2 linked regions of the Alligator mississippiensis genome follow. The protein of the gene in region 1 interacts with the protein of each later gene in a pairwise test. Links are inferred from orthologs where the notes say so. Each region holds a gene or a part of one and is shown in the gene's direction. Other genes may lie near its edges.

Region 1 (7,582 bases):
TTGGTGATTTTCATCTCTTAAATAACTTTAAAAAACTTCTTAGTAACTCTAAAAGTAAGGAACCATGTCATGCGGGCACCACAAACTCAGGGACATGTGCTGGCACATATATGTCCACACACATGCACGCAGAGCAAAATTGAGCATTTGTGTTTCTGGCTGTTAATCTCCCAGCCTCACTTTCATCTCTTACATAAAGTGAGTCAGGGAGATTAACAGCTAGAAACACCAATGCTAATTCTGCTGTGTGCGTGTGGGGAGGGTGCAAGGGCATGGCCTTCAGTTTGTGGTGCTCATTTGACACGGTTCTTTACTTTTAGAGGTGCTGAGAAACCTTCACTGCATTTGGGCATCATCTGCATGCTAGTAGTGGAAAATTCCCAAGTTTGGCAGATGTGAGTTTTTCCAAGGCCACATGGTTAAGTTGGGGCTTTGGGACTTGTTGGGAGTTTGGCTCCAAGTCTATTCTGCCACACAGCAACATAGGTGGTGAGTGAGAAGATGGATTTGTGAGATGCAGTGAGAAAAATTAGAGAATCCAAAACAAATAAATGAGGCTCTGGAAAAAAACTGGCAGAGAAAGAGGAGACTGCATTCCTTCTTGCACCTAAATGTCCCAGTGAGGTCAAAAGGCTACCATCCTTATAAGTAAACCATTCCAGAAAGGGACACGCTGAAAGTCTTCACTGCTTACATTTTAGGCAGTTACGGAATAAATTTTATTGGGTTCTAGAAATGCTGCAGAGATTCAACCTGAAAATTTAAAATTAGGCCTAGGCCCCTTATGGTTGGCAAAATCTAGCAAGGTCTGTTGGATGCTGTGGTGAAAAATATCAGTCTGCTGCCAGAAAACAAAGTATGACTTCCCCCCAAGTTGGGCATGACATCCAAGATCAAAACCACAGACAGGCAGACAAATTCATTCTCTGTCAGGATCTGCTACTAATGCTGCTCTGCTAATACACTCGGGTCTCTCTTTATGCGAGGGTTGCATTCCAAAAAAATCCTTGCATAAAGCAAATTTGCAAAAAGCGAATCCATTATTACATGTAATTAATAGGGATATGTACCAGCCGCACTCTACTGACCCCCCAAACCATGACAAATTCAAACAGTAATCACACAATACAATAGCTGCTGCGTGGAGAGGCTGTGAGCACACGCAGGGGGCAGCGCAGGGCAGGCTAGAGAGGCACCCAGGGGAGGGAAGCAGGGTGGCAGAGAATGCCAGCTGCTCGCCGTGCCTGGCTCCACCCTGCTTCCCTTCCCCAGGTGCCTCTCCAGCCTCGTGGGCACAACTCAATGCAGCTGGGAACAGCAGGAGGGAGTACAAGCTCCCTGCTGCACCGGGTTACACCTGCTGGGCTGTGGAGGCACCCAGGGCAGGGAAGCAGGGAACTGTGGGGCCGCACAGAGAAGGTGCTTGCCCTGAGAAGCAAGCAGCAGCTTGTGGAGCAGGTGCATTGCCAAAGCAGCACGGGGTGAGCACCTTCTCTGTGCGGCCCCACTGTTCCCTGTTTCCCTACCCTGGGTGCCTCCACAGCCTAGCAGGTGTGACCCAGTGCAGCAGGGAGCTTGTAGCCTCTCTGTGCAGCCTCACTGGGTCACATCCACCAGGCTGGAGAGGTACCTGGGGCAGGGAAGCAGGCCATCAGGGAATGGCAGCTGCTCATCCTGCGCTGCCCTGGGGACATGCCTCCTGTGCCTGCTGCTCTTTGGCAGCGGGATGCAGGTGTTGGGACCAGGCAGGGAGAGGAGCCGAGCTGGGCCCAGGATTAGGGCCAGGGCCCACTGCACCCATGCATCTGCCCCTTCCTCTTCCCCTTGGAAGTGTGTGCGGCAGCGGGGAGCTACCGAGAAGCCACTGGAGGGTCCATCCTGCTCTCTTCTTGGGCCCTGCAGCTGCGCACTGCAGCTCTAGACCCCATGTACCCGCTGGCTGGACAGCAGCCCCAGGCCTGCCCAGCTCCCTCCCTACAGGGACCTCAATCCCCCTCTTCCCCCCGTTACCTGCCAGAGCTGCCCTCGAGGCTACTTGGGGCCATGTGCATGTACTTGTGCATGCACATGGTGTCCCCTGTCTTGTCACCTCCCTTCTTCTTCCTCCCAGCTCCCTGCCAGCTGGAACTCTGCCAGCTGGCAGGGAACTAGTTTCTGGGCAACTTCGCATAAGATTGGATTTTTCTTGCACAAAGCAAATTAAAGGTATAAATTAAGGTCATTGCATATAAGTGAATTTGCACAAAATGAATTTGCATAAAGAGAGACCCGAGTGTAGATCAACAATCATATTCTCTTAGCCTCTTTCACTTGGGGTTTAATAAGAGTGGTTTTTCTGCTGTAGAGAACTCAGAAGGCCCGCAACAGGTCCCAGTGTGTTTGATGCTACGGATTCTGGCTTGAAACCTCTGGGTTTATCTTGTGAATCAGTTTGCACATTCAACATTACAAACTTTGCATAGCACCCTTGACAGGCTCTCCAGGCACCCCAGGGTGCCACAGCGCCTTAGTTGAGAATCACAGGTGTAGAAACTGTTAGAACACCTTATGGGACACTTCTTAGTTGGGCTCTCTTTGACGTGTGGGAAGACAGCATAGCCTTTGCTGTTAATGAGTTTTAACCATCCCTTGTGCGCCGAAGTTATTTTTGAATGCAATTAACTTGACAAAATGAAAACAGAAAAACATTTTTCCTGGATAAGAGCCTCTGCGTACCCCTCCAGGGGCACAGCTTCCCTTTCCTTCTGCCATCGGCTTTTTGCCAATACCAGGCAAGCATCCGCTGGCACCACCTAGCCCAGCGGTTCCCAATGACAGATTGCGCACCACCAATTTAAAACAATGCGACCTTAAGTACCACCAGCAAGTGTTTCAGCTTAACCCTAAGTGCCCCCAGCCAATTTTTGTCATATGAAGTAATGATAATAAATCGGTTCACGCACACCATCGACAGATTGTCTGCATACCACTGGTGCTGCCTGTACCACAGATCGGGAACCGCTGCCCTAGCCTTTTTTTCCTGCCCGTCCTTCCGCAGGTGCCAGAACAGGGCCAGACCAGGGGCTGCACATTTTGCAAACGAAGCGACTGCGGACACAGCCCCGCTCGGCGGGACAGCGAGAACCAGAGCCGTTCAGCTGCCTCGCCGAAACAAGAGGCCCCCGGGACTTTGCTTTTCTTCTCTTTCCAGCGGCGGGCTCGGTTTTCCTTACTTCGAGAGACGACACTGCACGCTCACAGAGAGAGGAGGGACAGAGGCTGAGGTGGAGCCTGCTTCTCGGGCTGCAGCGGGAAAAGAGCCGGCAGGACAAGGACAGGGACTGCAACATTACTCGGGGGCATCATCCACATCCTCCCTGCCCTTTGTCTGCACGCGGGGCTCCCCGCAGGGGGGGAGAGGCCGCCTTCCTCCCCGGCGGGGGCCTCACGAGGGAAGCAGCCACCCCACCCCGGATGACGTCACACAACCCTACGCCTGCGCACTCCGGCTTTTCCCCCGCGCTCTCTTACGGTCAGTGGGCGTGGCTCTGCGTGCGGAGGGCGGGGCGGGGCGGCGAGGCGAGCTTGCGTGCGTGTGTGGAGTGGGCGGGCTGCTCGGAGCAGCCCCGAATGCGTGCGTAGGATGCGCGCGCCGGCGGGGGTTGCGTGACGGGTGTCGGCGCGCGCCCCTTCCTCCCCTCCCTCCCCGTACCGTGCGCGAGCGGCGCGCGCAGCCAGACGGCGCTGCCTCCTCCCGCCCCGCCAGCCGCCGCCGGGGAGGAGCCGCCGCCGCGGCCGGAGCAGCAGCGGCAGCAGCAGCCGGGGCCGCCGCGGGGGGAGGGGCGGAGGGAAGGCGGAGCCGCAGCGCGGGCGCGGCTGGAGCGGGGAGCCCGGCGGGGCCGCGGGGGGCACCTCCCCCTCCCCCCCGCGGGGCGCGGTGGGACCATGGCCGACGACGACGTGCTGTTCGAGGACGTGTACGAGCTGTGCGAGGTGATCGGCAAGTGAGTGCGGGGCGGGGCGGGGCGGGGCGGGGATGGGATGCTCTGCTCGCTGGCGCCCACCTGTGCGCGGGTGTGTGCGCGCGCGCGGGTGTGTAACCGCTTTATGTAACGCGGCGGGGGAGGGGGTGACCCCGATGCCCCCCGGCCCCTGCAGCAGCTGCTCTGCCGCTCCCTCGCATCCCAGCGCCGCCGGGGCAGGGCAGCAGCCTGCCTCCCCGCGGCCCCGCCCGGCTGCAGCATGCCCGCGTTGGCGCTCAGGTAAGGGCCGCTCGGGCTCGGCGCAGCCCTCTCCCTCCCCCGCTGCCGGAGCCTCCTCGGGCTCCTTATGCAACGGCTGCTCTCAGCCCAGCTATGGCTGGAGGGTCCCTGGTCTCTTCTCCTCAAGCTGAGGGAAGTGTGAGAAGCCAGCCAGGTCCCCCTGGGGGCAGCCACAGCTGTCCTGGCTTTTGCCCTCCTAGTCTTGCTGGGTCGTGAGGCAGCAGTAGCAGTGGGATGCCGCTTTCCAGTGTCTCTTTGGTTTGGAGACAGCTGAGGGCTGAATAGAGGCTTGGGCAGTCACTGTGGCATGCACTATTTTTTGCTGACGGATCTTTTGAGGAGGGACACTTTGCAATACCACCTTGGTTTAAACAGGTTTGTGTGTGTGTGTCTGTTTTCCCCCCCTTCTTCCCCCCCCCCCCCAACCTCAGCAGACCTGAAATGTTCTGAGAATTGCCGGCTCCTTGGAAAGCTGGAACTAAAACAGGCTTTTTTTTTTTTTTTTTTTCTTGAGCACATCTTCCCTGGGGATTATGCCAGTATGTCAGTCTAAGACTCATGGAGTGACCGTGTCCTTAATGTCACATTCGCCCGTGTTTTGATACTTCTCGTTTTTTTCGTTATGGCACAAGGCATGCACCCATCCTGAATGTCACCTGCCGTTTCCTACAGATGTCTTCTCGGTCATAAAGCTTGAAGGGACTCGTTTGGCAGAAGGACCACTAATAGTCGTGGATGTCATTTAAAGCTGATCAAGAGAAGAAAAGCTTCTGGGGTTAGGAAATTGGATGGCAACTTTGGTATTACCAGCATGCAGAGCAATTTCAGATGATCCGGTGTTGAGCTGCACCCTTCCCCCCCCCCCATGAAAATTGCATGAGTGTGAATTTTTAGTACTTTTGTATATTTTATTTGAGTAGGGTTAGGGCCAATTAAAAGGGAGGCCTAGTGGATATGCCTAATCTTAATGTGGGCACTTTCCAGAGATGAGTTGTGCAAAGGGGATTGTTGCAAATCTTGTGACATTTTTAAAATGATTCTCACTTTGTGTGAATACTAAGGAAAAGGGGCCAGAGTTAAGTGCTAAGTATCTACAAAACTTCAAAATAAATATTTTGGCATTTTTTAATTGTGTATGTAGTAGACAAAGTTCTTTGTGATGTAAATAGGTTAAAATTGTCAGAAATTGTTAAAATTGTGCCAGAGGAATAGAGTGGGCAGTTAGATATCCTAACCTGTGACATTGTCGTTGCTGCTAACTAGTCAGGATTGTATAGCCAGGTTCTTCTGTGAGGATCAGGAAGATGTCATGTCATTCCCCTTAAAGAACATGTTAATAAATAAATAGCTTAATTATTTGCATCAGTATTCTTGTCACTTGAATAATACCCTGGAGTTACGTGTTAAGGACCATAGATGGAGCTTCTTGTTTTGTTAATACCTCAAGTCTGTGAAGCTTTTCCGTCTTGGAGAAGCCTGTGAAAGGGCAGTGTAAATCTGCTCCGAATTGCTACATATGCATCTTGCTAAACACCTTTCAGTAAAACATCAACTAAATGTCTGCCCATTCCTGTGACTTATTACTGATTGATACAGTAATTTAGCTCTTGGAAACAGCACACCTGGCCTTGATTTGCATTTCAGAGGCATGAAATATTTAAAATGTGTGTAATTTATCTTTACTGAGTAAGTGGCTACCACTGCCATCTTACGTAGAAAAACAGGTGGTTTCAGGAAAGCTATGGAAGGGAGAACTGTAACAAAATGTTTTTTTGCATGTCCTTTGTAGATGTTGAATAGGTTTTGAAAAGGTAAATTCCTAAATTTCTTTTCTGTTGGCTTGGGAACGCAGACCTCCTTTGGAGTCAGTCTTCTAGTTGACACTTGACTGTACAGCTTGCTGTGTTAGTCTCTTTCTAAATCTTTTAAAAAAATTTTAATGAGCTGCTAAGACTGGCAGGGTTATTTTATCTGAACAAAATGTTAATTGCTTTTTAGCTTGTTGCATTATAATTTGGTAAGAATGAACTAGTTGAAATGGTGGCTGTGATGGTAAAAAGTCAGGCAGTTAAGGAGCATTGCACAAGTTGAAGTTCTGTTAGCAGGGTTTCTTTTTCTTTTTTTGGGCATGGGAGGAAAGGAGTGTCAAAATTGGGGAATAGATGTACTATTATGAATATATCATCAGGAAAGTGGTGGTGAGTGACTTTTATTTGCATACACTAATACACACCTTTTTTCCTTAATAATAAAACAAGCCTCACACGGACGAGTAATCAGGACAATATAATTTCCTTCTTAAGTTAAAGGCAGCAAAGCTTAAAAAACAATCAGTGGTGTCCTTTAGGATGCAAGCATTGCTCGAGTAAATTTACTTTGCAAGTTCTGGGTAAAATTTTGGATTCTTGACATAACTTGTTCACATCCACATCCCTTCTCGCATGTGCTTGCCCAAGAGTAAATAATTGGGGTGGGGGCATGCTAGCCTTCACAAACATTAAATGTTAAGGGAATTGGCCATGAGGTAAAGAATAAATAACTCCTTTGATTCAGACTTCAGAGGTTTACCTAAAAGCAACTCACTTGGGATGTTAGAAGGCAGATTACTACAAAAACATTTAAATGCTTTTATTTTCGGTAAGGCAAAGTACTGGATTCAGAATTAATAGATAATTACATCTGGTACATTTTGTGTTTAAAACATTAATTCTGGCCACTTGCCAGTTGCAAAAAAGTTGAAGGAAGTGAAGAGTTTTACCATTCTAAGTGTCACTGAAAGGTATTCAAAGCTTATTGTCTGCAGTCTGTTTATGTTGAGACATAGTATATTTTAAGCTTAAAGTAATTCTCATGCCCTTCTAATACTGAATAGACACTTCCAGTACTCGCCCAGAAGACCAAATCGTGGTTTCTGTGTTCAGTATAATTTTCTTCTGATCCTTGCCACATGACTATCTAGTTTTGGCTTGTATCTGACTTTGACTTGGTGGGGCTATAAGATTCATATTTTTGGTAGTCGTGTAATGCTGACATGTTAGACTGTCTGTGATGATCCAGACGTACACTAGAGACTGCTTTCATTAAAGTTGCCTACCCTGATGTCTTTCTCTCAGAACGCCTTATTTATTAATATTTATCATTTTACTTCATTGCACTGTGGTATATTCATGTTGAAGGAATATTGTCAGAACTAAAAGTGCACTGAAGTCCTCTGGCTTTACTAATGGCTAACATGGGTGTAAAACTGACCCTGTGCCCTAGGCTGGATCTAGGTGTGTGGTGTGGTGGTGGTGGCAGCAGCAGTGGCTGCAGCAGGATCAGCTGCTGTAGGGGAAGCAGTG
Region 2 (7,399 bases), on another chromosome or scaffold:
CCTGAAAAAATAAAATGTGACTGGAGGTCAGTCATAAAGACAATTCCTTAGCAGTAAGAGGAGGTTAAATTAAATCTCAAGTCCCACAGAAGAGTCCCAGTTGCAAAAAAGACTTCTCAAGCCCCTTCCTGCTCTGAGGGTATGGGAACACTCGCTCAAAGGAATTATCTTTGTGCATTTACCTTATTTAAACCTAGCTCCTGTCTCAGTAAATCCAAACAGGTGGTTTTCAGTATTAGGCAGCTACAGAGACCATAATCACTAATGTTCCTCTTATACTTTTGTTCTCACACATTATTCTGTTTAACTAATGAAGTGATTTAAAAAAAAAATTAAATAAAATTCACAGGTTCAGGCAGATGACTATTTTAAACTCCTGCTAGATTTGAGTCTTTAAAAGACAGAATTACAAGGGGGACTTGACTGGTGTGATTGGTAGAGCCTAGCTTTGCCTCATTGTTCCATTTTATGTCTGTAGGCAGCAAGTATTCCATGCAGTGCAAACTGTAGTCTGTTGTTCACTAGTTTATTACAAGGCGTTTTTTGTGCTTTTTTTTTTTTTGTGCCTGTTCAGATGTTGACCTTTAAGTTAGATACTATTTACAAACAGAACTCTGTCAATTTATACTTAATACACATCTAATTCAAATAGAAATACATGCAGATGTTTGCAAACTTACCAATTATGAGCCTCAAAAGAAGGCAACAGAACACCAGGCAAGGAGGAAGGGAAAAATGCAAAGTTCCTGATAAGTAGCACCAATGTATCAGGTGTTTGATATTTGGGGAGTGAGGATGTTTTACAGCGGGTAACTGAAGAAGAATTTATTTTCAAGAAGAAGCATATCTGCTGTAGCCTGGGCTTGCACCATGTCACCCAGGTCCTGTGTGTAATGCAGCCTGGCTATGCATTTTTTCTTTTATATGAATGCTGCATAAACCTGTCAAATTCTGTTTTCTGTCATGTTCTAGTTGTTACTTCTTTATCTACTAAGCATTTTAAGAACCCAAAAAGAAAGGATTACATAGCTGTTTGAGACAGTAGGATGCATGTAGTGACATGGCCAGAAGGGACCAGACTACTGTCCGGAAGAGAGCACCCAAGCTTCATTAGGACCTGACCACCCTGAGAAGTCGCAGAGAGTGCCTTTTGCAATTCTTCTCCAACCTTTTTCACATTTTTTCTAAGAACGGATTAGCCTACCACTACCTATCCATCAGTGGTGCCCGCTTAACAAAAGGACAAAATAAAGGGTTTTTTCAGAATACATTAGTACTGTTACATAATTCCCAGTTTGCAGCAGAATTCATTACATCTCTGCAATGTAAATCGATATGCCATGGTTGAACATACTACATGAAATGTGTAATGCAGTCTTTCCCCTATGTCTCCTGGAGATTTTGCCTTGTCTCATAGATTAATAGATTCATAGATGTTAGGGTCGGAAGGGACCTCAATAGATCATCAAGTCCGACCCCCTGCATAAGCAGGAAAGAGTGCTGGGTCTAGATGACCCCAGCTAGATACTCGTCTAACCTCCTCTTGAAGACCCCCAGGGTAGGGGAGAGCACCACCTCCCTTGGGAGCCCGTTCCAGACCTTGGCCACTCGAACTGTGAAGAAGTTCTTCCTTATGTCTCCTGATCTTTCAGCTGGTGCTATCATCATCATAGCAGTTTTACACTGGAGAATTTGTATTAGTGAAAGAAACAAGCACCAAGAACTGTAGCAGCGTAGTATGTAACTAGCTCTGCTCAGAAAACTGCTATATATTCCTGGAAAACAGGATGAATGGTATGGAAAATAGTATGCGTTAACCAACCAGCCATTCAAAAATCAAGACTAACACAGTAGTGTGCATGACTGGCATTTGTGAAAGATTTCATTAGAAATGGTTTTACAGAGAGGCTTGAAGACTATATCCACTGTAAAACATGGTCTTCCTAGTCAGCTGTGAACTCAGTTATTGTTCTATCTCAAATACATTTACTGAATCTTGTACTTTAGTTACAAAATCAAAACCTGAAACGTTATCAAATGTTTCGTTAGCATTTATTTACAAATTAATGTAATGTTTGGCTGTATCTTATGTAAGCTAAAAACCTTTTTGTATGGCTTTTCACTGTATACATACAATAATACTTGAAGAAACCAAGTAGTTGTAATCTTTTTCAGATTTTGAAATGTTAGGGGTTTTTTTTAAATGAACTAAAATCTATTTGAAGAAAACATTTTTAAAAAGGTATTGAATTTTTTAAAGGGCATTTTAAATTTACTTTTCCTTCTGATGTTTAGAACAGTTGTTCTTTTGATTGGCAGGAGAGTGCAGAACCAAATTTGCTCACTTCTACTCCCCTCTATCTGCTCTTCTCTTTATGATCTTGGTCTTTGCCACTAGTTGGAGCTTTGTTGCTGACCTCATTGATAGTTCCTCAAGAAATTATTTACCATCTGAGCTGTGACAGTGCAAAGGAGGGCATCATTGTTGAGTTGACTGAATGAAGAACTATCAAATGCTCAAACTAAAAATACAAGAAGAATTATTTCCACTATAGTATTTGGGGGAGTAAGGTTTGTGTCGCTTAAGAGCAAAGCTTTCTTTGATCATTGTAACTGTGCTTTCTCTTTGCTTTTTGCAGAGAACTGCTTTGCAGGTTCAAATGCTTTATAATAAATAGGCATCTAGGAAGGTGCTGAAGAGAACTAGGAGACCACCTGGTCTTTCTAGTTAACCACATTTAGTTTTTCCACAGAATTCTCGTTTAGTTACCTACAGAATATTTGCTACAATGTTTTTGGCTCCTGCATTGAAGGATCAGAGGGCACCACCAGGTTGGCAGCTGCGGTGTTGATACAGCAGGCCTGCTGAGGCCCAGCTTCCACGTATATTTGGCACCTCTGCCAGGGTGCAGCCTGGCTGCAGAGGGAGGTCGGGGGCCTTCACTCTGCTGGGGGCCATCCTTCCCCCTCTGGTTTCTTACCAGCAGCCAAGACTCTGGTTACTGGTGGTGGACGAGTGGGAGAGAGGGCAAGAGCTGGTCTCTGAAGGAGTGGGGGGATGTAACCAGGTGCTCACCGGGAGGACTGCACAAGCTCCCAGCCCTGCGCCTGCTGGGGAAGGGCAGGCGGCGCACTGGTGAGCCACCACGAGCCCTGTCCTGCCCGCACGGGCCGAAAGCAGAGCAGCGTGTGCGCGCGGGGCCCGCGAGAGCAGCTTGGCAGGGGGCGGCCGATGACCTTGCACGGGCCAGGGGGGGCGCAGGGGCCCGGCTGCCTCCGCCAGCGCCGCCCCCTTGCAGAGCCGCGCCCTGCCCGCTGCCTGCGGGGGCGCCTCGCTCGGCAGCCGGGGGCGCTGCCCGTGGCCCCGGTACTCGCCGTGCCAGCACAGCCCTTCGGCGGGCTCCGGCCCCTGGCGACAGCTCTCGCTTCGTTTGCGAACCGGGGTGATCGCTTCTATGACAAATCTCTTACAAAAGAGCTCTCCGCGCCTGAGTCACTGCAAGAAAAAAGACAGCGAGTGGAAGGCAATGTGGAGAAGGATGCCTGCCTGGCGCGATTATCGTCCGCATTACAGCGCACACATGAAATATTGATGCACCAAAGCGGCCGTGACCAGCACGGCCGGTGCCTTAGGGCCCTCTGCCCGATGGGGAGAGGCGCCGCGCCGCGCCCGGGGCCGGCAGCAGTCGTCGCGGGGAGGGAGCTTTCTTTCCTCCCCGGGAAGCAGCTCGTGCGGGGGGCGGCGGGGAGGCAGGGGGAGATCTTATAAAAGAGTCCACGCAGCTATTGCGTACTTCGTATTAGCCGGGAAAGAGACACTGCGCGAGGCTAAGGTGAAAGCAGGCCACCGGCTTGTGGCTCGCGAGCTCTGCCCCGCGCCGTCCTTGCAGTCCGAGTGAATGCTGCCACCTTGGCTGCACCCCAAACCTCCAGCCTCTAAGCGCTCCCCTGCTCGCGAGGGAGAGAACAGCATTTAGGAGGTCGCAGAAATCGTCTTTTGATTTCTTTTCCATCCACAGTCACAAAGCTCGGGAGGTCACACAATAATGAGCACTCCCAGCAAACACACGCGCTCCCCCCAGCTCCCTTCTATCTCACAAAATCATCTCCTTCAATTTGCCATGATCGTCGCGACCAGGAGCCAGGTGATTATCCTAATTAATGTCTATCTAATTAAATTACTGTCAGCAGTTAACCAATGGCAGGAGCCGTTTCATCCGCTCCACAAGCAGCAAGATCAAAAGTGAGTCTTTCCTGATTGCTGCATAGTGTCAATTGGCCAATCTCTTCTCCCAGGGAAAAAAAAAAAAAAAAGTAAATCAAACGTTTGGGAAGCATTTGGTGGAAGAAGTGCTTTCTGCTTAGCGAGGGTCCCGCAATGTCTAGTTTCTAGTGTTAAGGAGCCCTTTCAGATCCAGGGACTGAAGGGTTATTCTTGTGGTGCTAGAGCTATGCAGCTGGAGCATTGTCTTTCTCCCTCTATCATGCTCTCCAAGAAATTTCTCAATGTGAGCAGCAGTTACCCACATGCAGGCGGATCTGAGCTTGCCTTGCATGATCATCCCATTATCTCGACCACTGACAACCTGGAGAGAAGTTCACCTTTGAAAAAAATTACCAGGGGGATGACGAATCAGTCAGATACAGACAATTTTCCTGACTCCAAGGACACACCAGGGGACGTCCAGAGAAATAAACTCTCTCCCGTCTTGGACGGGGTCTCTGAGCTTCGTCACAGTTTCGATGGATCTGCTGCAGATCGCTATCTGCTCTCTCAGTCCAGCCAGCCCCAGTCCGCTGCCTCTGCTCCTAGTACCATGTTCCCTTACCCCAGCCAGCATGGACCCGCTCACCCAGCCTTTTCTATCGCCAGCCCCAGCCGCTACATGGCTCACCATCCTGTGATCACCAATGGAGCTTACAACAGCCTCCTGTCCAACTCTTCTCCGCAAGGTTACCCAACGGCGGGCTACCCCTACCCCCAGCAGTATGGCCATTCCTACCAAGGCGCGCCTTTCTACCAGTTCTCCTCCACCCAGCCGGGGCTGGTGCCCGGCAAGGCGCAGGTCTACCTGTGCAACAGGCCACTCTGGCTGAAATTTCACCGGCACCAGACAGAGATGATCATCACCAAGCAAGGGAGGTAAGCGGCGCTCTCTGTGGCTGCTGCGTGGAGCCAGCGCGGGCTGGCGGGGCTGGGACGCCGGGCTCCCCCGGCCCGAGCCTGGATGTCTGGGGGACCCGGACCGCAGCCCGCAAGCCTGGGGAAAGCGGGGGGCTGGCGGCGGGTGCGGGTCTCTGCCCTTCCTCCCTGGGGAGGCCCCGCGGCTGTTCCCCCCCTGCCTTTGTCCTCAGCCTTTCCCTGCAGCTCTGCCGGCTTCCCCCTCGGCTACTTGGGGCTCTCGGCTCCCTCGGCCCCGCCGGGTTCCCTCCGCACCCGTGCGCCGCTGGCTCTTCCCTTTCCTCTTTCCCTTTCCCCTGTCCGTAGGCGCATGTTCCCTTTCCTAAGTTTCAACATCTCCGGCCTGGATCCCACGGCTCACTACAACATTTTCGTGGATGTCATTCTGGCCGATCCCAACCACTGGAGATTTCAAGGAGGCAAATGGGTTCCTTGCGGCAAGGCGGACACCAATGTGCAAGGCAAGTGCTTCCAATTAACACGTTTCCCGACACATGCGGAGGTGAGAAGGATTAATTAAAGCCTTTGTGGACTGGCTCTGGCGACTTCCTAGCCGGGAGCGGGCCAAGGCTGGCGTGGGGGGAAGGAGGGTAAAGAAAAGGAGAAGGGAGAAAAAGGACCCGCGGGGAAGGAGGTGGAGGACGCGGCTGATCCAGCCCGGGGAAGCCGGGGTTCGCGGCCCTCCGGGCGGGAGGCGGGTAGGGCCGAGCCGGGTAAGCAGCGCGGGTGTTTTTGTGTCCGTGCAGGAAACCGGGTGTACATGCACCCCGACTCCCCCAACACCGGGGCCCACTGGATGCGCCAGGAGATCTCCTTCGGGAAGCTGAAACTTACAAACAATAAAGGAGCCTCCAACAACAACGGGCAGGTCAGTGGGGCCCGGCGCTGCCTGAGGATCGAGCTCGGCCCCAGCTTTCTCCTTGGCCACATCGCAGGCTCGGGCGGGGAAGCGCAGCCCCGTGGGCTCCCCCCTGCCCGCGGGCTTGCGGCTTTGCCTCTGACCGCACCGCCGAGCAGGGGAAAATCCCGCCCGGGAGCGGGCTGCGCTTCGCCCGGCTTGTCGGGGAGGGATCGGCGGCGGTGGCTTTTCCTCCCGGCGCTTCAGTCGCTCTCAGTGTTTTCCCCCTGCCCTGGCTCTGATGCGGCTCTCTCCCCGGCTCCCCTCCCCTCTCTCTGCCTGACAGATGGTGGTCTTGCAGTCCTTGCACAAGTACCAGCCCCGCTTGCACGTGGTGGAGGTGAATGAAGACGGGACGGAGGACACCAACCAGCCGGGCAGAGTACAGACGTTCACCTTCCCCGAGACCCAGTTCATAGCGGTCACCGCCTACCAGAACACCGATGTAAAGAGCTAGGCGGTCTCCTTCACCCGCGCCGGAGCCTCCCCCGGGCCGCAGCAGCGCTCCGAGCAGGGCAGGCCACCGCCCGCCCTGACGGGGGACGCTGTCCCCTGTCCCAAACATACAGGAGTCGGGATATCTATTTGTAAAAGTTGCAATGCTGTGCCCTTTGCTGCGACCAGCAAGAGCCGCGAGCCCCAAACCCTCGACACTAGCAGGGGTGTGGGTTCATATCTCGGAGCCTTCCCCTTGCCCCGGTTCTCCCAGACGCTGTTTAGTCTGGTGCAGGGTCCGGAGACTAAATATTCCCTTAGGTCGAAACAAGCATCAGTGTCCGTAATGAATCTCTCCCAGGGTGAGCGAGAGGAACCCTATTGGCACTTCCAGGACATGATAGTTGTCAATAGCTATTACCTCCTTTCCAAAAGAACGTGTTCGGTTCTCTTGGGCGGATTTTAAGCAAGTCTGAAAAGAGCCACTGCTCGGTGCTGCTGCCTGCGCTCGGGGTGCTGGTTCATTTCAACCCGACTGCGATCTCGTCAGTGCCTGGGGAAGGGTTTGGTTTGGGTGTTAGTGCTGGGGGTTTGGGTTTTCTTCCTCTCTCTTCTTTTTTTTTTTAATTTAATTTATTTTTTTTATTTTGCCCTCTCTCTGGACGGTAGATATTAAACCTGTCTGCTTTGTTTTTAATTGTTGTGTTCGGTGCTTAGATCATCTCTTCCAAATACTAGGTAAAACAACTCGAAGTAGTAATTATTTCTGATCTGGCATCTTAATTTTTTTTTTAACATTTTTATAAATAGGAATCTAAGAACAATGTCGAATTAAAATATTTCTCCTTGGTATCAGTAATTGATGAGAACGAATGGAAGAGGAG

What was found. The genes of interacting proteins can lie anywhere in the genome.
Region 2: the proteins of CASK (region 1) and TBR1 interact in a two-hybrid assay, tested with the Homo sapiens proteins (2 studies listed by BioGRID and IntAct). The link is inferred for Alligator mississippiensis from reciprocal best matches to the Homo sapiens genes CASK and TBR1.

What each region holds. Positions count from the first base shown.
Region 1 is NC_081824.1:303,752,635-303,760,216, forward strand, and holds the start of CASK (peripheral plasma membrane protein CASK), read left to right. Parts: upstream 1-4,533; 5' UTR 4,534-4,548; coding exon 4,549-4,616; intron 4,617-7,582. UniProt on the Homo sapiens protein: Multidomain scaffolding Mg(2+)-independent protein kinase that catalyzes the phosphotransfer from ATP to proteins such as NRXN1, and plays a role in synaptic transmembrane protein anchoring and ion channel trafficking.
Region 2 is NC_081827.1:220,053,972-220,061,370, reverse strand, and holds the start of TBR1 (T-box brain protein 1), read left to right. Parts: upstream 1-4,337; 5' UTR 4,338-4,451; coding exon 4,452-5,143; intron 5,144-5,488; coding exon 5,489-5,643; intron 5,644-5,928; coding exon 5,929-6,050; intron 6,051-6,366; coding exon 6,367-6,525; intron 6,526-7,399. UniProt on the Homo sapiens protein: Transcriptional repressor involved in multiple aspects of cortical development, including neuronal migration, laminar and areal identity, and axonal projection.